Linked DNA regions of Schizosaccharomyces pombe. The gene in region 3 interacts genetically with the main gene of each other region. Each region holds a gene or a part of one and is shown on either strand. Other genes may lie near its edges. The genes, in order: rrp8, tls1, pof7 and pmc3.

Region 1 (7,931 bases), on a different chromosome or scaffold from region 3:
GCCAAAAGCAGGGCTACGAGAGTCACCCCAACGACCATGCGGTAATTCGTCCCACTGATCAGTACGCGAGACATAACTTTCATTACGAGTGCGCCAGAAAATGGGCCGTACACCTTCATTTATCCGACGATCTTGACTGGAAGCATTGGTTAACTCGACGTTATTAGTATCCACTATAGGAGCCAAGTTTTCATCTAATAAACCTAATCGTTCAATAATCATTTTAACGGCCTTTTCTAAATTCATAGTGTAAAAATGAAGTCTCGTAATGCCACTAGCTATAAGCTTACGGCACATTTCGACTATGAGCTCAACACCACGCTCACGGACTCCTTCATCATCGTCTTTAACTGGGACTAGAGTATCCATAAAATGCTGGGGAATTTTAACACCGCTCCATTTCGCTCTCCGAATAAAGGAATCCCATGCCTGAATAGGCATAATGCCCGGAAATATAGGGATATTTATTCCTGCTGCACGCACTTTATCGACCCATGCGATAAAATTGTCTACATCATAAAACATTTGAGTAACGATAAAATCAGCACCTTCATCGACTTTTAATTTCAGATGCTTTATGCTTTCATCAATGTCATCATCTGGTGAATATCCTTCTGGATAGCCAGCTACACCAATACAGAATTCATCATTATAATGTGTGCGAATATATCTAACTAAGTCTGAAGCATACCGGAATCCACTTTCGCCTTCAGTCCAGTCTGTATCTTTAACAGGATCACCTCTAAGGGCCAATATGTTACGACACCCTGTTTCATGAGCCCGTTTCAAAGCTGCGTCAATCATTTCTGTGGACATGTTCGTACAAGTCAAATGCATGCAAGTATCCACTTCAAAATCTGTTTGAATTACATTAACGATTCCAGGAGTCAGTTCTGAAGAAGTACCACCAGCACCCCAAGTCACATCGACAAACATGGGACGACCCCAAGTCTTCATGCGATCTATACGATTGTAAAGATTTTGGACACCAGTGCTCGTTTTTGGAGGAAAAAATTCATAACTGTAAGTAACTTTTTCCTTCCAATCCGGGTGAAGTAATTTGTCACTTATTTTCATTTTTACCTCTCAAATTCAACAATGAACTACTGACAAAATAGCGGGCTCTTGGCAAAGTCTTTTTTTTCGTTTTCATTCCACTTTTCATGGTTTTGCCTCGTAATAAGTCGTTAATGAGCTATTATTATAAACCTTAATATACGTTAAACTGTCAGCTACGCAGTTTGGTATCTGATTTAAGGATACGTAGAACTGCGGCGAGTTTTCCTTGTGATCTTTTATATTACAATAAACAGGTTGTTTGAGTAGCAACTGAGTATAGGTATTGTATTAACTGGGTTATAATGTTACCTATCACTAATATAGCTCATAATTGAACTCAGAAACGAGGTTCAGCAGTAGCTCTATTTACAATCTTTCTAAATAGTTATCAACGGATATCTATGATATGATGTTGAACATGTGACATATAGTGATACGCAACGTAGTTGTCATATCGTAGTGCAGTATTGCTGACATTATTTAACAAACATACTAAGGCATAATATTCATTACAAGGAAGAAGATAAAACAAACGTCGAATCGGTATACCAAACGTAATATGATTGAACAATTTAAAAATGATCATTTCCCTCCTTGCAAAATTCATAGCTGCAATTTAAATGCGTTTTAAAGTACTCACAACGTTACTTAATTCAAGTATTGTTGACAAACAAATGTTTTAGTACGCTACTCATTTCCCATTCTGGTAATAATTTTCATGTACCATTTTTTAAACCAAAGTCGTGTTCGTGCTCAATGAATATCATTTGTAGTCTCCAGCCTTCGCTTCGCGAAAGAAGAGTTCACGCAATTTTAAAAAATTGACTTTGTAAGTTTGTAAGCGCTAAAAAAAATGAAGCATTTGGTCATTGTTTCATCCTTTAAGGCAACTAAATATGTGTGCTACATGAATAAGTTGCTGGAGCTACCTATAATTAATAATTACTAATATACTGGATGGAAAATTCTTTCTATTCTTTGACCGCGATGGATTAAATTCAAATGTTTTATCGATTCACAAGATACTCGTAATGTTGTCTTCAAAAATAAACGAATTTTGCTTTTTGTTTCAATGTGAATTTTGACTTACAAGTTAGAGGTACATATCAAATATAGGATGCTAATATAGCACAAGTTAATATTCTAAAAAAAAATCTAATAATTACTCAAAGTCTAACCCATGCACTATCAAAATAAATGATGAATGATTTGATATGACAAGCCAGCCAATAGATTACTCCATCAATTAGAATGTAGCATTTGGGTCTTTGGTATAGCTATATTTTTCATTATCAACGATTAGACACAGCCTGTGACTCTTGCTTGCTTTTGCGAATATTCACAGCTCTAACGAAACAGTTATTTCTGAAATATATAACCTATTTTCTCATGCGATATTGATAAACCTATCGTTCTTCCGTTAGTCCGTCTTCCGATTGACAAAGAGTAAACGTTTAATATTATATTATCCCAAAATTTAAAACAAAACCTATTATACAAGAGCCCCAAACCTTCTTATACCGAAAGACCAGTTCTTTCCTAAACAATACCTTGTTTATCTTCTTTTGTAAATGCAAGCACTTAATATGGGAGGGAGTTCTTCACATTTCCCGTGTACAGGTACTTTTTTGAACTCAAACAGAGTAAACATTTTGTTTTGAAGCTGAATGGACTTAGTTTCAAAGCCTAATTTTGGAAGTTCTTTAGCAAAAACTTCTCCACTCTTATCAGAGAATCTGCTTTTGATTTCAGCAACCCAAAGTAAACCACCGACTTTAAGAATACGATAAGCTTCTTTCAAAAAAGATTGCCAATTGGTGCCCATAAGACTTAAACAAAATACAGCAATATCGACAGTTTCGTCAGCCATTGGAACATTCGCAATATCACAGGCTACCACATGTTCATTGGGAGCAACAAGGTCAAAGCTGTGCACTTGCAAAGAACGTGATTTTCTAAATGTAGAAGCTATTTTAGCTTCTCCGCAACCGAGGTCAGCAATTACAATATTGTTTTTCTTCTTTGCGTTTGAATGCTCAAATCTGATCTTTAAATGTTGAATGAAAATATCAACAGGATTTTCCGGCCAACCTTCAACTTGATATCGAAAACCAGCGTGATAAATATCAAACAAATCTGGATTTTCCTTGAACATTTGTACAGCTTTGTCACTTTCCGTAGTGTACAATTGTTCATTTATCCATCGAAAATTGGCACCATCTAGTTTATCTTTCATTTTTTGTTGAAGAGACGTTAACTTAGTATGCTTAGCATCCCCCTTGTTTTTCTCTTTAATAGAAGGGACTGATTTTTCTTTTTTAATCTCGCTTTTCAGGGAATTGTTTGTGGTAACCGACTTTGCCTTTTTTAAAACTTTTTCGTTGAGCTTTTCGCCTTTATCTCCTACATTCTTTCTCTCACCTTTCTTTCTTTTTTTTTCTTTTCTAGATTCTTTCGTTTGGTCTGATGCGCTTTTACTTACTGGACCTAAGTCCCAATCTACTTTAAACATGAAGTAGGGAATAAGATTAAATTTGGTTGTAAGAAAACTTCATCCTACGTACGTCAAACCAATGAAACCATAAAAGTTTCTAAGTATTAAAATAAATAACATTCATTTTTTGTGAACGTAAAATTAAAATAACAAATACTTGAAAAAACTAATCTTGAAATATAAAACTCAGTTTGATTAAGCAATTACGCATATATATAGAATTTTTACTTTCTGATACAAAACACATAAAAAATGATATAAAACACATTAATTTGAAAGAATTCGTCTACAATAGTAGAACAGGACCGATCTTGAAAATAATCATTTCCCTAATTTTTATCATGACTAAAATCATTGATTATGTATATCCAATCTCCCCGAAATCGAATTAAGTCGTTAAAGGAGAAAAGAAGCAGCTACATCTAAATCTCCATTCGCAGCGTCTAACGCCTGCGCAGCCTCTAATGGATCAAATCCCATACTGACTAGCTGTGCAATTTTGGAGTTCAAACCGGGGTCAGTGGGAGGATTTACCAAGGAAGGGGGATTGGAAGATCCCTCATTGTTGGGTGCTACGCTTTCTTTGGTACCAAGACGAGTGCCACTTTGTGGATTAGGTGAAGAAGCGCTCGCCTTACTTGCAGGTTCAATACCTAAACCGTGTGCATTTGCAGATGGCTCCACATTAGCCAGCAATTTTGGAATTTCAGATTCTCCAAGAAAAGGAATTTCTTTTCCATGAATCCGAAGAACGTTATTTTCTAAATCTATACAAGCTTGATAACGGCGTAACATATCAAGACCAAGTAGCATATCAACATCCCGACCTTCAATAACAGTAAATCGACATGGAAGATATAAATCGCCAATCTTTAAAGGTGCACTGTGAACACAACCTAATATTTTAGCCATTCCTACGCCCTTAGCGACACCTTGAAATCTAGTGTCAAGAAGCCTGGTAAGACCGCACTTTTCAGCGCAATCAGCAGACAAAATGGTAGCTTGAGCACCAGAATCCACAAATGCTTTCACCTTATGACCGTTAATCTCAACGTTTACAAAAAGCATATAAACTTGACCAAACACTTCAGGATGGTTTTCTATTGCCGATTGCATATTCTCGGTCACGGCATTTTGACGAATCTGCTCTTCAATACGTCGTTGGACTTCAACATCAAAGAGGTCATCTTCCTACAAAAATGTTAGTAAATCACCTTCGAAAGCCCTTTATTTATTGTGTCCATTAAAACTAAATTATTGGACTCAGCAGTTTATACGGGCGCTATTATGCGAAATTAAACGTACAGAAAATGAAGGCATTCCCATCGAATATGTAGAAGAAGGAATCTGCAATAATTGAGAAGCATTAATGGACTGCCATGTAGTAGCAAACGCATTGGGATCATTAAGGACAGCAGCTAGTTGAGGAAACTCTGTGCGTATTCGATTTAATAGAAAAGGAGTTGCTAAAATCGTTTGACGAATATTTTCTGGTGTTAAATTATTCATTTTTGTGTTTTCTTAATCACTCTTTGAGGTTATGGTAGAGGAAGGACCTGATTTGGCAGCATGACACGACTTGACTAATCGGCCACCCATATCAATTGCCATCCATAAAGGAATGGCCAAATAAGGAAAATAAAAACTCATTATCATCCATTTTTTTTCAGCAAATAACTCGAACATGCAGCACCATGTCGTAGTAAAAGCATGCACCCCGTATATGAGAATTGCAACCCATAAAACTGGATCCCTCGCTTTCTTTCGTAAGCGTAGAGAAACCCAAATAAAAAAAGGAACTTGAAAGAAAAGTTCTGAAGAAAACAATGCAGTTTTCCAAGGCGCAGGGATTAAAAGAATAGGGTCTTCATATGTAGATAAATAAAAGCGTCGCAAACCAGAAAGACAGCTTAAAGAGCCTCCAAGCCATTCAGTTATAGGTAAATCAACAAATAATGCTGCAGCTAGATGGCTTACGAAATAATAGTAATACAAGGTATCCATGTGAAGGCGTGTGGTTGGCAATTTGTATATCTCACTACTATAAATGCGGCGTAATGAAACCACTTTCATGAACCCAAAACATTGATATTCCTCATTCAGAGATTTTGAATTGCTATAGAAAACAATTTTACAATTTTAAACGGTGACATTGAAAGTTATTAGTATTTTTAATAACAACTGCTTCTCTGCGTATTCTATATACGTTACTTAATAATGTATTATCGTGTTTGTTTTAGAGCACTACGTCTAAATAGTTTTATAAAAACAATACGTTAGATGTTACACTTACAAGCAATAGGAAGACGATTGTTTAGTTTCATATTGGTGGTAATCAGTATATCGAGTAATTTTGTGTGCCAATATTAAGTTAAAAAGCCTCAGGCAGATTTCATTAATTAGTTAGTATTACCGCTTAATTGCCTTCATGTACATGATAATGTTAGACCACATTACTATGAAATTTATCAAGTATTAAAATTTAAATGAAATTCAATGTTATCAGTTCTTTTAAAAAAAAATGATGCAATTAGCAGCCTAAATATAAAAAACAGACTCGTCACATTTCGTACTTAAGTGTGCATAATGTTGAATGGTTTTTAGAATGCTATCTTTCTCTAGATAACTAATAATAAAATCATGAAATTCAATTAATTTGATGTAAAAACATTGTTCTCCCACTCTTGCTATATTGTAAGCATTTGAATTCCAAACTTCCTGCCAACAACCTCAGCGAAATTTAATTCACACCTTTCGAAAAGTTGATCGTTTGTTTTGGAAATTGTGTTATAGGGTCTAAAACAAGCGAACATAAAAAGCTGTTTGTAAAAGGTGCGCCCTTTATCAAAACCTGATTTTCTTTATTCGTTTATTATAAACTTTCATTAAAGACCCAAAACACAGACAATGTTTCTTGGAAAAGCTATAATTCTAATACTATGGATTTTTCTAGCTTTTACAGGTCTTCTAGCTATACAATACTATGTTCCTAATCCTTACTTGGATGAAATATTCCATATTGCACAAGCTCAACGCTTTTGTAGAAAAGATTGGGATTGGGATCCGGCGATTACTACACCTCCTGGTTTATACTTGGTTTCAGTCGCACTCAGCCCATTTATAGGCTGCAGCAATGTATCTCTGAGGTTAATAAACTGGCTTGTAGGCGTAATTGGACTGCCATGGCTTATAAACGATATCGTTTCTCTTTTGAATAATAGGAAAGGAGATGTTGTTACCTATTTCGCTTATACGTTATCGTCATTACCTCCTTTATGGTTTTTCTCATTTTTATACTACACTGATATTGGTAGTACTTTTTTCGTCCTTCTTGCTTATGACTTTGCTCTCCGAAAGTCTGCTTTTTCAAGCTCTGTGTCTTGTTTTTTTTCTCTATGGTTTCGACAGACAAATATCGTTTGGATGGTCTTTATTGCAGTTACATATTTTGCTAGCAATATGTCTTTCTTCAATCCCCACTTAGCTGAAGCAACTTTTGCTGATGTTCTTCTTACTATAATTTCATTCTTAGGGGTTTTTCTTAAAAATTTAAGAAGATTTTCGTGCCCAATTCTATCCTATGGTGCAGTATTTTGTTCCTTCCTTGCATTTTTGCTTTGGAATGGCAGTATTGTCTTAGGCGACAAATCTCATCATCAAGCAAGCATTCATTTATCTCAAATAAATTACTTTCTGTGGTTTTTCTTTTTCTTTTCTTTTCCCTCTTATATTATAAAATATCTAATGTCCCATTCTCGACGCTCCAAACTTTTGTCCGCAGTCTTTTCTAAAAAATCTTTTTTGATCGTTTCTGTGCTTTTGTTGATAGCGCATTTTAATACGTACGTGCTAAATTGGTATTGTTTAATTTAACTAACGTTTAGAATTTTCCATCCATTTATTTTAGCAGACAACAGGCATTATTTATTTTACGTTTTCAACAGACTTTTTCGAATTTGGTGGTTAAAATATTTAGGCCCATTTTCTTATTTAATTTTATACTACTTTTTTTTGGATATATCCAAATTGCAAATGACCTCGCTCACGTTCTTTTTACTGATTTCAACAACAATCCTTACATTGGTACCGGCACCTTTAGTAGAATTTCGGTATTTCCTTTTACCCTTCCTTTTCTGGCGTTTTCATCTTCCTCTTCCGTCGGGGAGGGAATGTTTAATGGAATATGCTTTGCATATGGTCATTAATTCTGTCACCTTGTATATATTTTTATTTCGAACATTTATATGGCCATCCGAGCCAAATGCTCTTCAAAGGTTTATGTGGTAAACTATCTCATACGAAACTAAATCAATTCAATACTTTATATTATGTCAACTTCAAAAATGATTAATCTGATGAACCACATTTACTTGATTTA
Region 2 (8,515 bases), on a different chromosome or scaffold from region 3:
ATTCTTTTCTTTAATGCTTTAATCACGATTGATAAATCTTTCTTCTTATTCATTCTTGTTGCTAACCTGAGCTGTAGTTCCTATACCAGTCTATTTCGGGGTTGGTACTGCTGGTTTGCCAGAGTCCATTATTTCGCATATGGCCATGTATGGACCAGAGGTAGCACCTAACTTGTTTTGTATGGGTATTTGTGGGTTTATGAAAACTTTTTACAAGTTTACAATTGCTCAACTTGGTGGATCTTATAATGAGGAGAAATACTACCAACCTCCCGAAAAATTTGAGCAAAGCTTAAATGAAAAGTGTTTTCATCGAAGTGATGTACAAAAGTTGTCTAAACGTTGTGACATTTTGTTCAGCTCTGAATGGCCGGAGGACGTACAAGAAAACTCTACTCTCCCTGAGAGAAAGTTGCCTAAAGGTTGTATGCCGTTAGCTGCACTAGCTGCTAATTGTATGCCGCAGTACTTTTTTGTTCCTGGGCCAGTTTACTACGAACGTGAACCCTACAAAAACTCTGCCGCTATTAATGTTAACACTGGTACTGTCACTCATTTCGTGGCTTTGGCCCCTTTCAAAAACTCCAAAAATGAGAAGTTTTCATACGCTTTTACTCTCTACCCCTTGACAACTGAGTACATGCAGCCAGCTCCTCCTAACTGTACTGCTTCTCCATTTGAGCATAGGCCAATTCCCTTAAAGCGTGCTTCAGAAGATCAAATTATTCCCCAGCAAACAAATAAATTCCATAAATCTAAATCAAGCACTGCTCTCTTTAAATCTAAAAAAGATTCTAGCTCGTCCCTCAACAAAATGCACAAGTCAGAGTCACATAGTGCACTCAATAATTTGCACAAGTCCGAATCAGGCACTTCGCTCAATAATAGACGGTCTAAAGTTGGACGTGAGTTCCGCTTCTTATCTCTGCGTTTTTTCCACCGTCACTAACTTCTTTTCTCAGCCGGGTCATGCTTCTTTTGTTTGAGTAATCCAAATGTTGCACTTCACTTAATAGTCGCTATTGGTAACGAAGCTTACATGGGTACGTTTATACACTCCAATGTTTGCGACACGCTGTTTAAATTTTACTCTTTTTTATACTAACGACTCAGCGTTGCCCAAAGGCCCTCTTACTACCACGGCATCGAATACCCCAGCTTTAGCTTCCTCTGGTCATGTTTTGATTATACCAATTGCGCATGCTTCTGCTTTAAGTACTTTGTCGGACACCTCATATGAGAAAACTTTAAATGAAATGAATCGATTTCGTAAAGCTGTAACTGATATGTACAATGCTTGTGATTCCGATGCTTTAGTATATGAAATTAGTAGAGCTAACGGAGTTCATTTGCATTGGCAAATGATTCCCATCCCCAAGATTTCCTCACATCGTATTGAATCAGTCTTCCTTGAAATGGCAAAGGAAGCTGGTTACGACTTTGAGGAAAGGGATGTAGAACCTCATGAGCTGAACTATTTCCGTGTATTTCTACCCTCTGGAAAAATCTTAATTCATCGATTACAACTAAGAGAACGATTTGATTTACAGTTTGGGCGACGTGCTGCTGCAAAAATTTTGGGTCTTGAGGATAGGGTTGATTGGAGAAAATGCGTTCAGACAGAAGATGAAGAAAAAGCTGAGAGTGAAGCTTTCAAAATGTGTTTCAAACCTTACGACTTTACATAAATTTAGTATTTCATTATAATTCATAAATAAATTATTTAAATTCATAACTGGAACATCATTCCATTAAAAGGTGGACGTCGCTTTAATACCTTCACTTCCTATTCGACGCATGGCCTCTTCGCCGCCCGTTGCTAATATAGGTTGTTCAAGGGCTTCTGCAACACATTCCCATGGGCTTCTACTGCCACCCCATCGTAGGATGGCTTTACGAAATTTCTCACCAGCCTCACGGCTTAATGGATTTCCAGCAAAAAGTTTACTAAAGATTAGCGAAGCCAATACCGTATCAAAAATGTATGAATAATAAGTAGCGCTATATCCATAAAGATGACTAAACTGAAGATACCAAGCAGCAGGTGGAGCAGACTCAAACCCACTGAACTTTCTGGTTACATTAGTAACTTCATCGATAGAATTAAATGACGGATCTAAGACAACCTTCGAGTGAAACAATTGATCCACCATAGCCATACAAATTTGAGATTGTAAATCTAAGGGTGCTGAACTATTTTCAACCATGTTATGATGGTTCAAAACTTGTACAGGTAATGGAATCTCAGTTCCTTCGTAGCGAGCATAAAGCGGTAATACGGCTGGATTTGACATAAAAAACTCCATAATAATTGAAGGAAGTTCAACAAAGTCGGTTGCACAACGAGTTCCGGCTAAGTTCTGATATTTAGTATGACCTAGAATGGAATGCATGGCATGCCCCATCTCGTGAAAAAGTGTTTTCACATCCCACAAATCTAAAAAGGTAGGATCCATTCCACTAGAACGTACGAAATTACACAATAACGAAATGACAGGTATTTGATACCGTTTGTTATCCTTGACCCTTATATTAGTAGCATCATCAAATCCAAGACTTATAGAATCGTCAAAGCTTGTCAAGTCTAATTCCCGAGAAGAACGAATTGTAAAATGAGCAGCTCCATCTGTTTTTCCTGTTCGAGCAAATAGATCGAAATAAATTACACCCATTACATGATCATTTTCATTGTAAACATTGACCTTATTTACATCAGGATGCCATACCTCACCAGGGGAAATGTCCGCTGGAACAAAACGAAGCCCATATAAAGAACTAAATAGTCTAGATAGACCTTGAATAACTGTACCAACAGAAAAAAAACGCCGATAATTCGTTATAGAAGGGTTTAAAGAAGGCTTTTGATTTATAAGAGATTGTTTATAGCGAGCAGTATAATATTCCCTGTCCCAAACATCAAATGATGGAAGAAAATTCAAGTTTAACTCTTTTTTCTTCATTAACGCGAGATTGTTTAAAATCTTTTTTAACACGGAAGAATTTTTTAATGATAAGTTCTCTAAAAATTCAACAACATGTTTAGGAGCATTAGCCATTTTATCTATAAGTTGTAAATCTGCAAAACTACTTTTTCCCACTAGTTTCGCAACTTCCGCTTTAGACCTCAAATAGGAATTTAGCAATTCGACTTCTTCAACTGTTCCTTTATGACCTTCCATGTAAATTTCTTTCCTGACGTCGGGATTTGCTACACTAATCAAGGCCTGTGTACCTTCGTATCCAACAGTTGGAATCATAATAAAGTTTTTGTCATTCTTAGAGAGTGAGCGTACAAAATATGGGTCCGAACCAGCCAGACGTTGCTTAGAAATAGTTAAATAACGCTGAGGACGATTCATGCTATTATTAAAAAATGCTCTTCCAAGAGTTGCAGATTCAGAGGACTTTTTAACAAAGGAGTTTCTTTTCGAGCTCTCTAAATTTACGCCCGATTTTTCAAAATCTTGGAGGAATACTCTTCCAACAGTATATGCTTCAGGATCTGTATCTTTCAACGTAGGAGTCTGTTGTAAAGAACACTTTAATTTTTCGTAAAGACCTTGATGAGTGTTTAAAGTGTTCATCAGCTCAAATAGATAACTGTAAGCTTCTTCTGCTTTCATTACCACCATCTTGTCAGGATGGGCGCAGCGCACAAACTCAAAAAGGTCAATGACACTGCATAGTAAGTTAGAAATCCTGTCAAATTTGCTGACTACAATTGACCCGTCTTCAGTATCCTCGAGCAAAAGATCCTCAATCACGGCCTTACATTTTTCAGATGCAGTTTCCGCGAGCCTTAGGAAGCCGGTATCTTTGTCGGAAAGGAAGTGATTACGAAACAATCCTACTCCCTGAATTCCATTTCTTTTCGTTATCTGGTTCACAGCTATATTCTGATCATCAAAAATTTGACGCAACAATTGGTCTTCCGCTTTGCGACTTTGAACATTAGAATATTTTCGATAAAGACTAAGAATGCACTGCCTATTTCCAATTACTTTTTTTTTTCCCAATGTAAGCAAAGTTCTTACTTGCATCGTAATATGCGACAAATTTTTGGTACATGTACAGGCTATATGAATGGTATATATTTCCAGGAGGGTTTACTTGAAATACCAACCACAAAAAGTATCCGCATGAATAGTATACATATAAAAAAGAAAAGCAATCGATCGTTCAGAAGAAGAAAAGTTTTTGGAAATGAAAAAGAATTTGATTTAGAAGAATTAGATGATAATGATATTCGTCTACGGCAAGCTTTGGAAGCTACTAAGAGGCGAAAAATTAGAAATTCGATTATCGGGATAAATGCTGAAAAGTTATTAAATCAAGAAACAAAAAAAGAGAAACAATTGAACACTGCTAATGAGCCTCATGAAGCTAATGATCAGACCTCAGCTCAATCGTCGAAACTTATAGAGGCGCAACTTCCAACCGTCGAAGATAGGTTTGCTAAACAAACAAACGAGGTTGACATCAACACGCATTTATTAAACTTTGTTGAAAAAAAACTGAAACAGGAAAGGTTGGCCCAAAACTACTCAGAAAATGGAGAGACTAATGCACTTAATACAAAAAATGAATCGACGGTACAAAACATAAAAAATTCCTTACATCCAAATGAACATTCATTTATTAGAGATGCAGCTGCTCTTGGTGCTATACGTGAAGTAGATTTAGGGATTATTAGTACCGACGTTGATAATTTGAAAAATGGTCGGAAACGACAAAAAAAAAGAGCAAGAATGAAAGAAAAACTAGACTCGAAGGCTCTTCGCACCTCTGAGGACGCTGCTCGGGATGAATTTATTGAAAAAATGTTAAAACCGATATCCCAAGATGAAGAAAGTAAGGGAATCTACAGGCGTTTTCGCGTTTACAAGGATGGAACTCAGGATTAACGATAATAAAAAAGAAGCAACAGTTTGGCAAGGTTCATTAATTCAAATTATTTATTACATTTTTTGAGTAATCAATTCGGATAAAGAGGTTTGTTTGTGTTTTATAAAATCCTTACTCAAAACCTCAAATGTTTATTTATCAAAAATATAGTTTTGTAACTTTTAATCATTATGGGCATTAAAAAGAGGGCTTTTGCTAGAAAAGACGAGCTTAACTAAATAACTAATTTTTCACAAGTTCTTCATTTTGAGGCGCTGATTCATCGTTTGTTGAATTAACAGCGACAGGAGGAGGAGGAGGCAAAGGAGTTGTTTGGGAATCGTTAGTAGAAGAAGCGTCTTTGGTTTTATGATCCAATTCTCTGCTTAGTTTTTCTTCTTCATCTAAATATGATTGAATAGAAGAATCTTGGATAGCGCCTTTATGAGACTTCTTATGTCTTTGATAGTGCGGGATAGATATTTCATTGCTAGATCCAGCATTAGCAGAAGCGATTTTAGGTGGTTCTGGAGTAGGCAAAAAGTTTTCAGTTTCACTGGGCTGAGACACTTTATGATCTGGACCCCCCAGCATGGGATTTGAAAACACAATGTCCCCAGGTTGTGGAGGAGGTCCTGACAAAGGAGCGGGTAAGCGATGCAAGACGCCATGTCCAACACCACATCCAATAGCTCCATTACCTCCCCAATGACGATTTGGGACAATGGTAACTTGACGAGTGGAGTCGCGATAATGATTGTAGATATACAGGCGTAAGGGTCTGTTGAGATGCTGTTAAATTGTTAGTCAAATAATTTATCTTAGCACATAATTTACATACAGACTCAATTAGGTCTGAAAGCGCTTTTTCTCCTGTCATCATTCCTTCAGGAGTTCCGACGATATAATCTTCATACGGAACAAGGCTAGCTCGTGCAACAGGAGAATCGTCTATAACATTCAAAATATGCCAAATGGCATCCACGGCAGGAGCGATTGATGCCCACTGTAAAACCATGCCAATTTTTTCTGTAGTCGTTAGAAAATTTATTTGTATTCAATAAGCGTTCATAAAAATACATCCAAAAAAGATATAAGAATCGTTAACCGCAGCTAGAAACTTACCGTCACTGTTAATTTTAATATTAACTTTCCTCGTAATTTGCCCTTTTAAAGAAAATACTTCTAAAGTTACTTCGGGGGAAGAATCACGAAGCAAAGCCATAAACATTGAAGGGTCTCCATTCTGTGAAAAACACTTTAGTAATGATAAAACTATAATCAGTTCATACCAGTAAGATCCCATTCACTGCCGTTATAAAATCGTAATAAGACTCAATTCTGGCATTATAGGCTTTCGAATCGTTTTCAACCTTTAATACTCTGAAACCACATGATTCATCTGATTCTCGATGAATACCAGCTAAAGCTTCTGATTTTTCTTTAATAAAGTTCTTTAAACCACCAAACATTTCGATTGTTTAGTACTTAAATAGGGTTGGTGGTGATTTAGGTAATGGCGCGGTTGACTCGCTATGATATTAAGTTCATACAGTCGGAAATTTATGTGAGTAAAATGATGCTGATATTAATAAATTAAAACAAAAAAAGGAAAAAGAAAAATTAATAAAGCTGTTGGAAGCAATCACCGCTCTTTTAAATATTTTACTGTCAAAACATCATAAAAAATAAAAAGAAATGAATTTCATTAAACTTTACATGCTCATTATCAAAACGAAAGGTTTGTTTGTATAAATAATCGATTCTCCTCCCTTCGTATCCATCTCAAAATCTTATTAACATTTGCAATAAGCAGTTGACTGCTAGTGGTAGCGTTAGCAATACAATGAAAGTCGAACGATGCAGTTGACCACGTGAATAGAAGCAAAGATTCATGGACAGTCATATTAATTGAGAAAGAATTTTTTTTGTGAAATGCCTGGTCGTGTAAGCTAGCATAAATAGCATAAAGAGTTCTAAAAACATAGTTAGCAAAGCAAATGAGCCCAAAGATAGCGATCGTATTGAAATTGTAAAGAAAAATAGATCATTGTATACGTACCTAGTATTGAAATTGGGAGTTGAAAATGAATAGCCAGGAGTATAAAACTGTGAGTATTTCTTTGAATAAAACAAGTAATGTGAAATACAAGGAGATCCGGGATTCCTTGGCGTAGTTCTATCCATTTCTTCACAATAAATGAGCTTTTTCAACCATCCATGATCCTGAATTTCCTGAGCAACTTTGCATTTCACTGATTGCATTTCAAAAAAGACACCACTTTCGCTGCTCCCCATTATCAAGACAGTGTCCTTACATAGGAAATAGCTATAAATGTAAATATAAGCATCTGGATTTAGAGTAGGAAAACAAACAGGCACCCAATGCTCCATTGAATCATTAAAAGACTGTGTGCGGAAGAGTGATAGGAAAAGTAAATAGAGATCATTAGCATGTAATAAAAGCTTCTTCGCCTTAACCATACAAACAAGCCGACCTCGTATAGCTATAAAAGTAAACAGCAGAGATTTGGGTGTTTCTCTCAACAGCAGTTGCGACAGCTGATCACGAAAAGAGGAACGTAAAGGAAGAGGAGATATGGCATTCAATGTGGGGACTAATTCATAATCATTAAGTTGATCACATAGTTCTTTTAGGAACTGCTCGTTGCTTCCAATAAGTCTTCTCAAATCAAAATTTGGGCGGGAGTTTAAGGTCAGCTGCATAGCTTTCGCAGTAACCCCAGTAAGTATTTGGCAATATAAGAGGTTTAACTCACTGAGTAAATATGCTGCGCTTAAAGTTGTCGATGGCGATACGCCAACAAGATAAAGAGGATTTTTGGAGAGAACAACGATAACATTGGAAAAGGTAGAAAAGCTTGTTAGCTCTTCTTTCGACACTTCGAAAGAGCTAATAATTGCTTGTAACGCGCCAACGGTTGATGGCTCAATTGAATCATCAACAATGTTACTAAACACGGGCTTCCCTGATGAAGAGAATATCAAATATGTGCGCTTTTGTTTTGCCAAATCAAAAGATATCAACGAAAGTAGTTTTATAATTTCATCAACAGCCGTATTGTTACTACTGCTCGATACTGAAGTGCTTACATTAAGCGGAGAGGAATTATCATGCAATATATCAGAAAGTAATTGTTCAACGTTTTCCACGTGGCTTCGCAATTCTGGTGTAGACCTGCTTACTTCTTGATCATCCTCTGACACCGAAGGCGCTGCCATTAGAACATTACCAGGGTTTAACAGCAGTGATCCACATTCCGACTCATGAGATCTATGAACGTTATCATTTTCCACTTCCTCCTTGATTGATGAATGCTCAGATGTTGGTTCCATCAACTGGCTGTTTTCATTAGTGGGATGGATTGAATAAGGAGGACTGTAGCTGTTGTAATAATGCTAACCTCGCTTCATTCACTCATTTACGGTTAAAATTAAGGGAAAAGAAGGCGTTTTAAATATTTTGCTTTTTATTGAATAAAAAATAATTATTGATTCTTTAAATAAATGTTGAAACTCAACTTTGCGGTGCAATCATAAAGATATTGTGCCGAAGATGATTTCGTACCTAGTTGTATAGGTAATTCAAAAGGGAAGATTGGAATGGCTG
Region 3 (8,382 bases):
GCTGCAGGTCTGCGAAAATAACCATTACTGGCAGCCGCACATAGCAAATTTGAAGAAATGTCTTTCTTTAAGCTCACTGAGGGTTTCAAGGAGCTTGAAGGAGCCAACAGAGTTGATTCAGTAAGTTTCAATTGTTTAACAGAAGGCGATTGAGATTTCGATATTACAGTTGATTCTATCACCTCTTGCTGTTTCACTGGCGGTTTCGAATTTGCATTAACTTCCTTGTTTTCACGTTTCAAGGATGGCACAGTTTTCAAATTTGAGACTCGAGCAGCTTTCTCATTACTGGCAGGAACTTTTCCCTCTGCGACGTCTTGCCAAGCGCGTATGGTTTCTAAGGGTCGTTCATACTTCCACCGGGTGGGATTATTCGTATCCGGCTCTGGAAAGGATGTTAGTGAGAACATGGAAGTAAGATTATAAAATGTGACAACTTACGACAAATACTTCTTCCCGAATAATCACGACGGACATGCGCTTTGTTTAGTTTAGTGGTTTCCCGATTTACCCGTGCATACGGTTCCAATTCCACCAAAGGAAAGTTTAGTTTCTCACAAGGACCACCTGCTTGCTTTCTCATTGCGTTTGACTTTAAAATTCAATCAATTCCTGGATAAATAAAACTTTAGAAACTGTGTGGTTGAAGGCAGGTTGAAACCGCGTCGCGCGTTTTAATTATACTCAGAGCGGGTGCTAGCACGAATCCTCTAAAAATCAATGAAGCCCAACTTACGAACAACCAACATTCAGGTTTTTAAGATGTTATAAAAACGATGAATTGTTATGACCTCAAATTGTTTGTTTTGAATTTTACTTGTTGGCAATGATCCGAGTATTCTAAAAGGAAAGAATTGAACTCTTAATGTTGTAAAAATAAAAATTCATTAAGTTTGAACGAATAAATTTTTACAATATATCAGAACGAATGTTTCTTGAACAGTTTGAAATGTTGTACTTGTATACCGTGGATAAAACGAGTAATTTTCAGCCGAACGATTGCAGTTTTCAGTTTGTTCCTTAATTGCAAATAAATACTATCACATGTTTCTTTAAATCATATTTAGATACTCCTGTTCAATGTTGAAGCACCTAGAAGCTTCCATCTTTTTCAATACTCATTGCTTGAGCGGTCACCCTTGACTATTTTCGAAATCAAATAAGTTGCCAATATGTATTCTTTGATATTCTATTTATTTAGAGTTTCTAATTCTGTTGGTTCCTGTTTGTTTAATAGTATTGTTCTCTACGATATCGCTCATCGATTAGCAATTAATTAGGCTCCGTTTTAGAAACTTCTTGTCGATTCTAACAGAAGGTTAAAGAACTAAATTTTGAATGGCTCAATTCACGATACGGTCATAACAACGCTATTTCGTCAACAAAATTTCAACGGTCAGTTCAATGATTTCATTATCCTTCAACAATTCATAGAAAGCGATGAATTCTTTGCGCGGTAGCATATAAGCTTCAGTATTATCAATTTATTCTTTCTTTAAAGAAAATAGGTAATTTTTATTTAAAACAGCGATAAATTGATAAGTTTCTTGATATGGTGAATAAGCCTCGCTACAACACCACAGTATCTATCCTTTCCACATCACAACCCTAATTACAAATTTTCATTATTTACGGGATTTAGGTTGATTTTCGGTTTACATTTTTTCTTTTGCATTAAATAGAATATGTTTTTCATTGTCGCTGCAGGTTTTGTCATCGCAGCTTTAATTGCGGCTATTGGAATGGCGATCAATAGATTTTTTGTTCGCCGTCGACAGGCAAGGGCTGGACAGACCAAACCAGCAACTACACGCCCCATGGCAGAAGCTCGCGCTAGGCCTGGCGCAACAGCAGTTCCTCGCCGTTCACCTACATCTCCCCAGTCTGCATACGTTCCTGCAACTGTATATACATCTCCAATTGGCTCACCTCGTCGTGGCTCTGTTCGGTATACACATGTAATGGCACACCCGAATACAACTACTACCGTTTCTGAAAATTTGCCTGAAGAAGTCCCACCTCCATATAGTCCAGCTGCTACTGCAAGCAATACACCCCAAAATGAAGCAAGCCCTGCAGCAACCGAAGCTGTAAATCACGAACGACCAGCTTCACCACCACCAGTTTACAGACCTCCAGAGGAAATGGTTTAGCTTTGAATAGAAATGAGCGATTTTCTACAGTTTCGTTAATCCTTTCTCTTTTTCTCTTTACGAAACTAATTTACTTTAATTTTATTATCCAAAATAAATCCGTTTGTTAACTTTAAAACGGAATCTTCATGTTGAATTATTGCTCTCCGATATTTCTCCATGTTTTACTTTTGTCATTCAATGCTTCGATATGGCGATTTTTTATGTTGCCTTTAGTTTATTTATTTGTGGTAAAAAAGCAGGGATTTTTTACGAACATGATTACGAATGGTTTTATGGTTTTCTTTATGAATATTCGATCTGGACTTCAAGAAACTGATACGTTTAATATTCCATTTCGTGGGTTTTCCTCTTTTATTTTTTAAGTTTTGTGCATTCTATTTACTCTTTTCTCCTCAAGTATCACGCATGTTTCCTTGGACTTAGGATTGTTTATAACTTTGTACTTCCAAAAATTTGTTAAGCATCTGTTGTTCATTTGTAAATGTATGTTAATGATATATTTCCATGCGAAGAATAATGATGGCATTAATATTAATAAAAAATAATTTCTTTAAATCCTCTCACGATGCGACCTATAATAGATAATTAATCATTTCCGCGGTTTCTAAATTAGTATTCCAAAAAGTAAGACTAGCCACGTTTTAGTGACTCTGAGTCAGCAGTATAGCTATATACTCTGGAGAAAACATAGTCACGATTGTGAGTGAGTGGCATTTCGTTCGTGAATGAGGTATAATTATGGATGGAGTAGAAAGAAATCCACTTAAGCCTTATTCCACGAACTTGAAGTTTTTGAACGTATGTATAAGTTTGACTTGCGGGATACACAATTAGCATTTCTCCAGAAGGAGTCATTGACCAGGAGCCAGTGAGTGCTACGTTTCCATTACTAAACATAGGAGAACTCGACATAGGAGAAAAAAGACTGGTGTTTTGCACACTGAAGTTGCGAACAACATCATTTGGTTCATTACTGCTTTGATAAACGATACATGTTGAATTAGGATAAAGTCGTAAATACCGGTAGTATGTGATCAAATGTATGGGTTGGTTCCAGCTCGTGTCACTAGTTCCAGGTCGAAAGTATCGACAAACGGATATGTAGCATCCGTCAAAACGAGATCGAGGCTTTTTAAGGAACAAAGTCTTCCAGCTTTGCTGGTATTTTTCCACGAGTTCTTCCTCTATTGACTTAATAGACTGTTGCCATTCTTTTTGTTCACAACTGCAATAACAAAACGATCTATATAGAGAATCTGCTCGTAATGCCTTCGCAAAATGCTTACAAGTTAGTGCAATTGAAGAGAGATATCTTAAATCATGAAGGTCCCTAATGCAATTCTCTAGGATAACTAGCAAAACCTCGTCGGGAAGCTTCAGTATATTGGGAACGACCGACTCATTTACAGACTCATTTTCCGTTAACGTTGGAGATGGGACTGAGGAAACAGTGAGCATAGCTTCTGATGCATCTGAATTTAACATTTCCTCCTCTTCATTTCTTTTACACAGTTGCAAACGCTCCAAACGCCGATAGATAGATTCCACATCTTCATGGACTTTATGAGCTAATCGATATTTATTAAGAGATTCACCTAAATTTCCTTCTCTTTCAGATTTTATAGCATCTTTGTAATGTAAAAGTGCTTTTTTCAACAGTATATCCTTGTTCACTGTTTCAAGTTCAAGAGAAAGTTGATCCTCTACTGTACTCATCACTTATTTTATTTCTCAGACGAGCAATCGAAAGTAGATGTATAATTGAAAAAGAAAATATTTTCTTACTTATTTCTCTCAAAATAGAAAAAAAAAAAAAGAATTCAACACGAATATTAAGAGGTTAAGATAGTGCTGAACCTAACTAATGACTTTTATGTTTTTTACTTTTCATACAATTCCTAGCAAAGTATTAACAAGGATTTAAGGATTAAAAGCATCCTTTCACAAGACCTTACTTTGGTAACAATATGGTTTAGTTCATGGGTAGTTAGCCGTTGCGTTTAATATCAAGTTGTGGCGGTTTGATAACAAGAAGAAGAAGATTAAATTGAGTCAATCGTCGCTTCTTTACTGTTTAAAAAATGGACTAGATAAATATTGTAACATGTTTGAGATGCTATTTGGCTATGGGCATATTTGTAGGTGTCTTCGATTCTATCACTTCTAACAAGGCGTTAGGACTTGCGAAACCATTACATAAACTTAAAACTTGTTCAAATCAAAAGTTACTTGGCAATAAGCTAAGTGGATATTAGGATTTTAGCGATATAGAAAACATTTCGATTTGATGAATTATTGTAATAATTACCAGCTTCATGTAGCATTACTGCATTTATTTATGGTGAATATGATAGCGATTTTTATTGTTAATAAACGAGTAGATACATATCCCGCTTTGCTTTCGGATAATTCTCAGCATATCTTCGTCAAAAGCAATTGAGATTTAGATATGGTTTCGGGAACACAGTCGAAACCAAACTCATTGATAATGTACGATGCCTTCCAATCGCTATATGAATCTTGAAATAAGTATAAAAAAAATTATATATTGAAAACATTTAAAAAGCACTGTCAAGTTAAATCATTCAAGTAGCTATTTACTCATTCGCTCTCAATAAATAAAGCAAAGCGGAATGGTCCAAATAAAGTACATTTTAAGCTATTCTATTGTTTTAAAGTAGTAATTTTGTAGCTCTTTCATCCAAAAATCCAAATGACCCCTAATTCCTTTTTAAAAAAATTTTTTTCGTATTCTTTTAAAGAAATTCAAAAACTTCATGTTTACCATGACACATGTTTGATACACGCTGATATCCCACTATGCCTTCCAGGCAAATAGAATCAAACTTTGTATACATAATTCTACACTTTGCTGCATCACTGTCAAGGTTTCCTTCAGAGATGGTTCTCATCGGCATTCTAACAAGTTCAACATAAAACTGAGGATTCGTTGGGGGACCATACATCACAACAGCTTTTACACCCCTAAAGTCAAATCGACGGAAATGGTGAGCGCGCTCAGTATATAGCATTATATTGGTTCTACCTTGATAAAAAAGATTGCGGGCTCTAGTCATATCGGATACACTCGAATATTCTGATATGGCAGAATAGTTAATTCCCTCCTCATCCATGTAATTTCTCACACGAACAAAATCAAAATATGAAGGTATATAAACTAAAATACCACTCTGGGAATACTTCTTTAGTTGTACTAGTATAGAACCAGTAAAATAGGAAAAGCGGGCATCTGGAACTTTAATAATAGAATCGACAGAAATGCGAACAAAAGTTTGAGTCACTTTGTACCCCAAGCGGTTTAAAACACCGTGAAGAAGCGAGCGAAATTTAACCTTACCAGCAATATTTGACATGTAGTGAGAAAAGAAAGAATTTATATCTAGATTGTTATATTGAGAAAATAGTATAGTTTGGCGCATATATCTGGCTTGCTGATCAAGATACCAAGGACGAACACGACTGAAATCACAACCGTGAGCTTCTTTAGGCAAACCATTAAGTTCATCAAAAATGCATTCAATATGTTCCCAGTTTTGCATCACGAGAGCATGAGCTTGGTCAACCATTGCTATTTCAATCGAACTCAAATAATCGAGGTCTCGCTTTTTATCTCCCTTGTTACCAATAGCAAGACGAAGTCCCAAAGGACTAGCAACTATAATGTCAGAATTGTAAAACTGGGAAAATAGCTTGACAGTTTTTCTTGTAAATTTAACACCCAGTCGAAACATATCGTCGGTATTTCCGGAAAAAAGATAACGAAAATCTTCTGGCTTTTTTTCTGAAATGACTTCTTTTTCAATCGAGAATTCATTATCAAAACGCTTTCGATTTTCTACTTGATTAGTCCCAGAATATGAAATAAGTAAATTAATGAATTCAAAAGCACTATTCCTTGTGGGTAAAAGAATTAATACTTTAGGCCTGGTGTATCCCTGATCACGAAATTCTAATTCAGGATTTTGAGAAATGCGAGCACTATTTTTTAAAACACGGTCTCTTGTTTTGAATACATGGTTCAAAGCATGAAGCGCCAAGAGTGAAGTCCCTAACTTATGGCTTTTCATGGACATGTTAGTAAAGAATACATCTTGATAATTGAACATTGCTTTCGCTAACTCAATTTGCATGGATGTAAGTTGCCCAGATGGCTTTTGCTTTTTATAGGAGTCCAATATCCTCTGCTTTAGTCCCAAATCATCAATATTCTTTATTTCGCTAAGACACGAGCAAGGCAATCTCTTGGTCACATCCGGAAAAAACGATTGTGACACTCCAAGTTTGGATTCCTCTATAGACTTACATAACTTTCCCTCATCATAAGCAGCAATAGAATTTTTAATGACTTCTGAGTCATCGTAATCGAAGTGTTGATGAAATGGGTCTTCAGATGAATCTTGAGCTTCTTGGTGCAAAGTCTCATCGGCATCCTGAGATTCAACATTGATGTAATATTGTATTGCTTCTTGTTCATCGTTTTCGTTTTCATTTTCATCTTCCATTTCAACTTCCATCTCATTTAAACTTTCAATAACTTTGTTCTTTTTTTGTACTTTCTTCGATGACTTTTCTTTATCATCTTTTTTCTCAGGTTTTCTCTTTTTATTTTTATTCATAAGATATAATAAAGCCTCATAAGACTTTCCAGCCAATTCATCCATCGAGGCACCGTCTAAATCACTTTCAATTGCCATATTCGCAAATTTGATGAAATCAAGTTATAGCCTAACAGCTGAAAGAGGAAATAAACAAAATATTTTTTCAAAATATTTTTATTATATCTCGAAGAAAATACTCGTAAATTTTCCAGCTTTCGGTACCCCAAAAGTAGTTGGTTATTTTCAACTGTAAACAGTGGTAGGCGAAAAAAAATGCAAATCAGCAAGAAGCTAATCATTTTATAATATAGTACTTCCGAACACAAAGTTTAATTGATATTATCATTATTATTATTATTAAAGACAAAATAAATAGCGCTTAAGCAAGAACAAAACCTAGAGTATAACTATATGCATGCTACATCTACAGAAATTTCAGACACTCGGACACGGAAGATTGTGGGCAGTCTGCCAACAAATGTTTCATAGTGACCGATTAAAAATTTATCTTTTCTCAAACCGTTTCAAAAAAAGGTAAGGAAATTACATAGACTGCAATGCTTATAGTAAATGACGGTTATGGTCCACACAAACTTTTTTAATTAAATAAAACAGCCTTTAAAAAGCCAAAACCAACGATACATTAATAAAAGCTGAAATAAAGTAGGGCTGAAAAAAAAAAAACACCACCTTGGGGTTAACCGAATCCAAATTCAAATTCGCCAAGTTCTGCAACTCATAATTAGTTCCACAAAATAAGATTATTTCCTAAAAATTGTAACCTTCATAATAAAACCTGACTTGTTAAGAACAAATAGGCCCCTTGAGCCTTTCTGTATATAACTAAAAATCAAAAGGTAGTACAAATCCAAAAGCAAAAGTTAAAGAAACACATTCAATGACAAAAAATAGCATGATTCTGAATCTAAAGTAAAAAATGCGTTTAAAAGCATTTGGATTCAGATTGATATATGCAACATGTGTTGAATGTTAAAGAAAAAGGATATTAAATTAAGGAAAAAGGTAAAAAAAGGTAAAGCCATAGTAGAGAGTTGATTAATGATTTTCTTCAGTCGCTGAAGAGCTTGAAGCAGCTATCTCATTGCCGACACGAGGTAAGTCATAATGACTGCTAGACCTACGTTGCATCCAACGATTGATACCACCTAAAAATCCTGTGGGACCAGGACTTGAAGGTTCACTAGAGCCGTGCAGAGGATTCTTCTGCAATTGATAATCGGTAGTCGCCATTGACAAAAATGATTTGATATCAGCCTTCAGATCACGAGTTGTAGAAACCCAGTGATTTCTCAATGTATCACGAAGAACCTTAATGTGGTGTCTAAGATCAAGTTCATTCTTCTTAAACAACGAAACGTTTAATTCCTTTCGGTTTACACCGCGAGCAAGGTTTCGCATCACATATTGATCATAGTCCCGAATAATTCGAGTAATGAGATCGGATGTAGAAACACCCTCTGTACGCTTTGTAGGAATAAATTTACCAACCTTCTTAACCGGAAGATAGATATCTCCGGAATCATCGCTAGCATATGGAATGTCGTCGTGGGCGACAAAATCAATCTTGTGTTCTTCCAAAAATTCTG
Region 4 (3,687 bases), on a different chromosome or scaffold from region 3:
TGAATCGTGGTGATTCTCGGATGGGCGGTCGAGGAAGCAATCCACCATTTAGCTCTAGTGATTGGTCTAATAACAAAGATGGTTATGCTAGACTTGGACAAGGTATAAGAGGTCTCAAATCTGGTACTCAGGGTTCTCACGGTCCCACAAGTTTGAGTTCAATGCTTAAAGGTGGAAGCGTTAGTAGAACGCCTTCTCGTCAAAACAGTGCCTTAAGAAGGGAACAGTCTGTTCGTGCACCACCATCTAACGTCGCGGTTACTTCTGCTAATTCTTTCGAATTACTTGAAGAGCATGACCATGATAATGATGGGGGTCAAAAAGATTCTAACTCAAAAACTAGTTCGTAAAGTAATCGGATTTGAATCTGTAATTTAAGTCTTTCATCTTTTGGTTTGTTTTGATTGTTTTGCTATGGATGAATCCATCATTTATCAGGGTTAACGGGAAATGGACTTTATAGTATAAGGTAATACATTCTCTACATTGTAATTGAGAAATGCTTTGGAAAATTTTAATTTCATTCATTGAGTTACGCATAGCCCAATTTACAGTATCTATATCACTAAAAGAGTAGTACTTTTGAATTTTTAGTATACAAAACCATGATATATTAAGGTATTTGAAGTTTGTAGAACAGGCTTGAGTAGTCCAACAAGATTTGGAAATTATAAATATCAAGGAGTCAGAAGACATTGAGTTTATTCCAACATCTGCATGTGATTGAAATGCACTTCTTTGAAAGTGATAATTGTAACTCAAGCTCAAAACGAAGCAAAAATGGCAATTATGAACGTCTTATTTCATTTGAATATCAAAATTAGTGTTTCACAAATCTGACTGAGCCGGCACGCATTCTGCATGTAACGCTAATATATCTTTAGAAGTAGGCTTCACTGTTGAGTTTGCGTTTCTTCGAACAGAAGGAAGCTCCAGGTACACAGGAGAAATGAGACTTTTACAAAAGTCACACGGCTTAGAATAAAGATGCTGATAATCAAGTATTTTAGGCTACACACGGTTAGCAGAGGTTTTGTCTAACAACCTCAAAAACACATACCATAAGAGACCATAAATTTCCAAGGAAGTTGTTGTTACGGTTAATTGAAAAAGTAATAGCATCGTCTTTGCTAGATGAACAATAAACACTAAATTTCCCCCTAGTATCATGAAAGAAAATAAACTCTAGCTCGTTTGCTAGTTTCAAAGTGAAAGACTTGTTTTCATGCGTTGTAAGAATAGACCCTGAAGCCTCAATATCACCTTTAAAAGACTCTATGTTTATATCCGAATTTTGGAAATTGTCATTATCATGCAATTCACTGTGATGCGGCTCCTTTAAGTCTAATGCAGACTTCCCATTAATGGATTTTGTTTCATTATTTTCGGTATCATTAGACAAATCTTCTGAATTGTATAAATAAGTAGGGAGCAAATTAGAGGAATCGGCTTGTAAAGACTTTTCAGCATAATCAAAAACGTCTGTTAATTAGCAAAAATTTAAGCTAAAAATAATTTGCATGCATACTTTGACTGGATTTAAGATGTGTATAAAAGGAATTTACTTTTTCAATCGCTTCTTGAGCACTTTTCTCAAATTTCCGACCTAATTAATTAGTACTCGAGCAAAATTTAAATTTAATATGAAAGATAATCATCATATCATTTTCCCTTAGTGTAAACTTTAACTCGTTTTTCTTAAAGAATTTAGTTATTTAAACAATTACTTACTTGTGCCGGTTTCAGGATGTAATAATTTTAAAAGGGATGGACAAATAGTTCTTAATTCAGCAAGCTAAAATTAATAAAATGTCTTCTGAAATTAGACAAACCTGTTCGTGAAGCTGATTTAAATCCAATAGCTTGTGCTTTAATTCATCTCTTGTACGCTGCTCTTCTAATGACATTTCTGGTAGCCTTAACAAACTTAAAATAATTATGAAAAAAAAATTAACAATGCGTATATTAAATAAATATTGATGGTAAATGGAGAGAATTCAAAAATCGGCACATCCAAATAGTAGATGGTAAGATGTCGGCTGTCATTAACGAACTTACATTCATCTAAAAACCTTTAAAAAATAATTCAACCCCAGTGCTATTGAGAAAGAAGATTGTTATTATATTCAAAATATAGGAAATTTGAAAATATGACCGAACAATTTGAGTCAACTTCTTTTCCATCTGACATTCCCGCCGTGAACGAAGAAAGCAAACTTTCAGCTGAGGAAACATTTAAGAGCCTTTCTGAAATTGTAAGTTAAGTTTTATTATCTAATTTTCGTCTCTATTTTTTTTTTAATTCACCATAATTTATACTAACCATCATCAATCAGTTGGCAGAAAATAGCACTTTGCCAGTGGGTATTTCTTCCATTCGAGTTACTGGTGCACATCATACTAGGCCAAGTTTCATTCGCAAAGTATTGAAAACATGTTTGGATACGTCGAAACCGGCCAAAAGTCGATCTTTGCTTGAAACATTAAATGCTATTCAAGAAACTACTGGGAATTTGATGGCATTCAACGTTTATGAAACTGCCAATATTAAAATAGATCGTGCTAGCTCTTCTGTTTCTGGAGATGATGATCTTGATGTTACCATTCAAGTAAAAGAGAAACCACGTTTATATGTAGAAACCGGCACTGATGTTGGTAACGTTGAAGGCAATGTACATGCTAATGTTCTTGCAAGAAATGTTTTTGGAGGAGCTGAACTTCTTTCTGGTAACGTTTCATATGGAACTCGTAATCGGTCTACCATGTCCGTGAACTTTGAGACCCCAGTAAACGCAGATCCTAAAACCCGTTTACGATTCAATGGCCACAGTAACTTGAGAGACAATAAATCTATTTCGAGCCATGACTTACTTACTAAAGGAATTACGCTTTCATTGCAGCATCAAGATCTGTGGTCTGGCGAGCATTTACTTTCACAAAACTTATTGTGGAGGCAAGTTACTCATCTCACTGAATATGCTTCTCCAAGCGTACGACTTGAGGCCGGTGATTCATTAAAACAATCTCTTTCCTATACGTATACACGCGATACACGCGATCATCTTATGATACCCACGAAGGGAGATTATGTGAGGCAGACTTTAGAGCTCGCTGGGTTCGGATTTCTTCCAGGAGATGCGAGCTTTCTAAAATCAGAATTCTGGGGTCAAAAAGCTGTGGCTTTAAATTCTTCTAGGTCTGTTTCTCTTTCTTTGTCCGCCCGGATTGGAGCATTGCATAGTCTAAATAAGAAGCAAGTCAGTCTGTGTGATCGTTTCATGTTAGGCGGTTCAACTAGCCTTCGTGGTTTTTCAGAAGACCGTATAGGTCCAAAAGATGGCAGGGATTCTTTAGGCGGGACCGCATATATGGCTTTCTCCATGAGCTTGCTATTCCCTTTGCCAAAAGTTGATGCTTCTAAACCATTTCGCTTACAGTTGTTTGCGAATGCTGGAGGGCTATCGAATTTGACTTCTCCAAATCCATGTGGCACATACAAATCAATACTTTCTAAGCCTTGTATCTCTACAGGCTTAGGTTTAGTCTATGCAACTCCCGCTGCGCGTTTCGAGCTGAACTTTACCTTACCAATCGCTACTACCGAAAAGGATATCGGTCGTAAAGGCCTGCAATTCGGCGCGGGTATCGATTTCATGTAATGATTTTCCTTTTTAACTTTTTACTTTA

What was found.
Region 1: mutations in pof7 (region 3) and rrp8 together harm fitness less than expected from each alone (positive genetic interaction), as found in Schizosaccharomyces pombe (one large-scale study listed by BioGRID).
Region 2: mutations in pof7 (region 3) and tls1 together harm fitness less than expected from each alone (positive genetic interaction), as found in Schizosaccharomyces pombe (one large-scale study listed by BioGRID).
Region 4: mutations in pof7 (region 3) and pmc3 together harm fitness less than expected from each alone (positive genetic interaction), as found in Schizosaccharomyces pombe (one large-scale study listed by BioGRID).

Annotation. Positions count from the first base shown.
Region 1 is NC_003424.3:1,136,261-1,144,191, reverse strand, and holds rrp8 (rRNA methyltransferase Rrp8), read right to left. Parts: upstream 3,584-7,931; 5' UTR 3,572-3,583; coding exon 2,615-3,571; 3' UTR 2,190-2,614; downstream 1-2,189. Other genes in the region: methylenetetrahydrofolate reductase Met9, read right to left, coding at 1-1,077; UBA domain protein Mud1, read right to left, coding at 3,950-4,744, 4,859-5,062; protein ema19, read right to left, coding at 5,075-5,626; dolichyl-phosphate-glucose--glycolipid alpha-glucosyltransferase Alg10, read left to right, coding at 6,461-7,395, 7,438-7,840. UniProt on the Schizosaccharomyces pombe protein: S-adenosyl-L-methionine-dependent methyltransferase that specifically methylates the N(1) position of adenine in helix 25.1 in 25S rRNA. Required both for ribosomal 40S and 60S subunits biogenesis. Required for efficient pre-rRNA cleavage at site A2.
Region 2 is NC_003424.3:635,272-643,786, forward strand, and holds tls1 (splicing factor Tls1), read left to right. Parts: upstream 1-4,120; 5' UTR 4,121-4,139; coding exon 4,140-4,904; 3' UTR 4,905-5,127; coding exon of another isoform or gene 5,128-5,676; 3' UTR 5,677-5,725; coding exon of another isoform or gene 5,726-5,913; 3' UTR 5,914-6,009; downstream 6,010-8,515. Other genes in the region: CwfJ family splicing factor mug161, read left to right, coding at 78-905, 963-1,043, 1,114-1,688; peptidase Oct1, read right to left, coding at 1,752-4,040; grh1 (GRASP family protein), read right to left, coding at 5,128-5,676, 5,726-5,913, 6,010-6,130, 6,177-6,356; autophagy associated protein Aut12, read right to left, coding at 6,614-6,860, 6,947-8,241.
Region 3 is NC_003421.2:2,369,208-2,377,589, forward strand, and holds pof7 (F-box protein Pof7), read right to left. Parts: upstream 4,131-8,382; 5' UTR 3,873-4,130; coding exon 2,787-3,872; 3' UTR 2,307-2,786; downstream 1-2,306. Other genes in the region: protein mug9, read right to left, coding at 1-385, 442-583; SPOM_SPCC70.10 (uncharacterized protein), read left to right, coding at 1,686-2,153; U3 associated protein Utp25, read right to left, coding at 4,913-6,871; pcy1 (cholinephosphate cytidylyltransferase), read right to left, coding at 7,832-8,382.
Region 4 is NC_003424.3:4,488,756-4,492,442, reverse strand, and holds pmc3 (mediator complex subunit Med27), read right to left. Parts: upstream 2,038-3,687; 5' UTR 1,908-2,037; coding exon 1,833-1,907; intron 1,796-1,832; coding exon 1,732-1,795; intron 1,607-1,731; coding exon 1,529-1,606; intron 1,483-1,528; coding exon 1,061-1,482; intron 1,012-1,060; coding exon 829-1,011; 3' UTR 501-828; downstream 1-500. Other genes in the region: tif471 (translation initiation factor eIF4G), read left to right, coding at 1-350; sorting and assembly machinery complex subunit Sam50, read left to right, coding at 2,151-2,255, 2,337-3,659. UniProt on the Schizosaccharomyces pombe protein: Component of the Mediator complex, a coactivator involved in the regulated transcription of nearly all RNA polymerase II-dependent genes.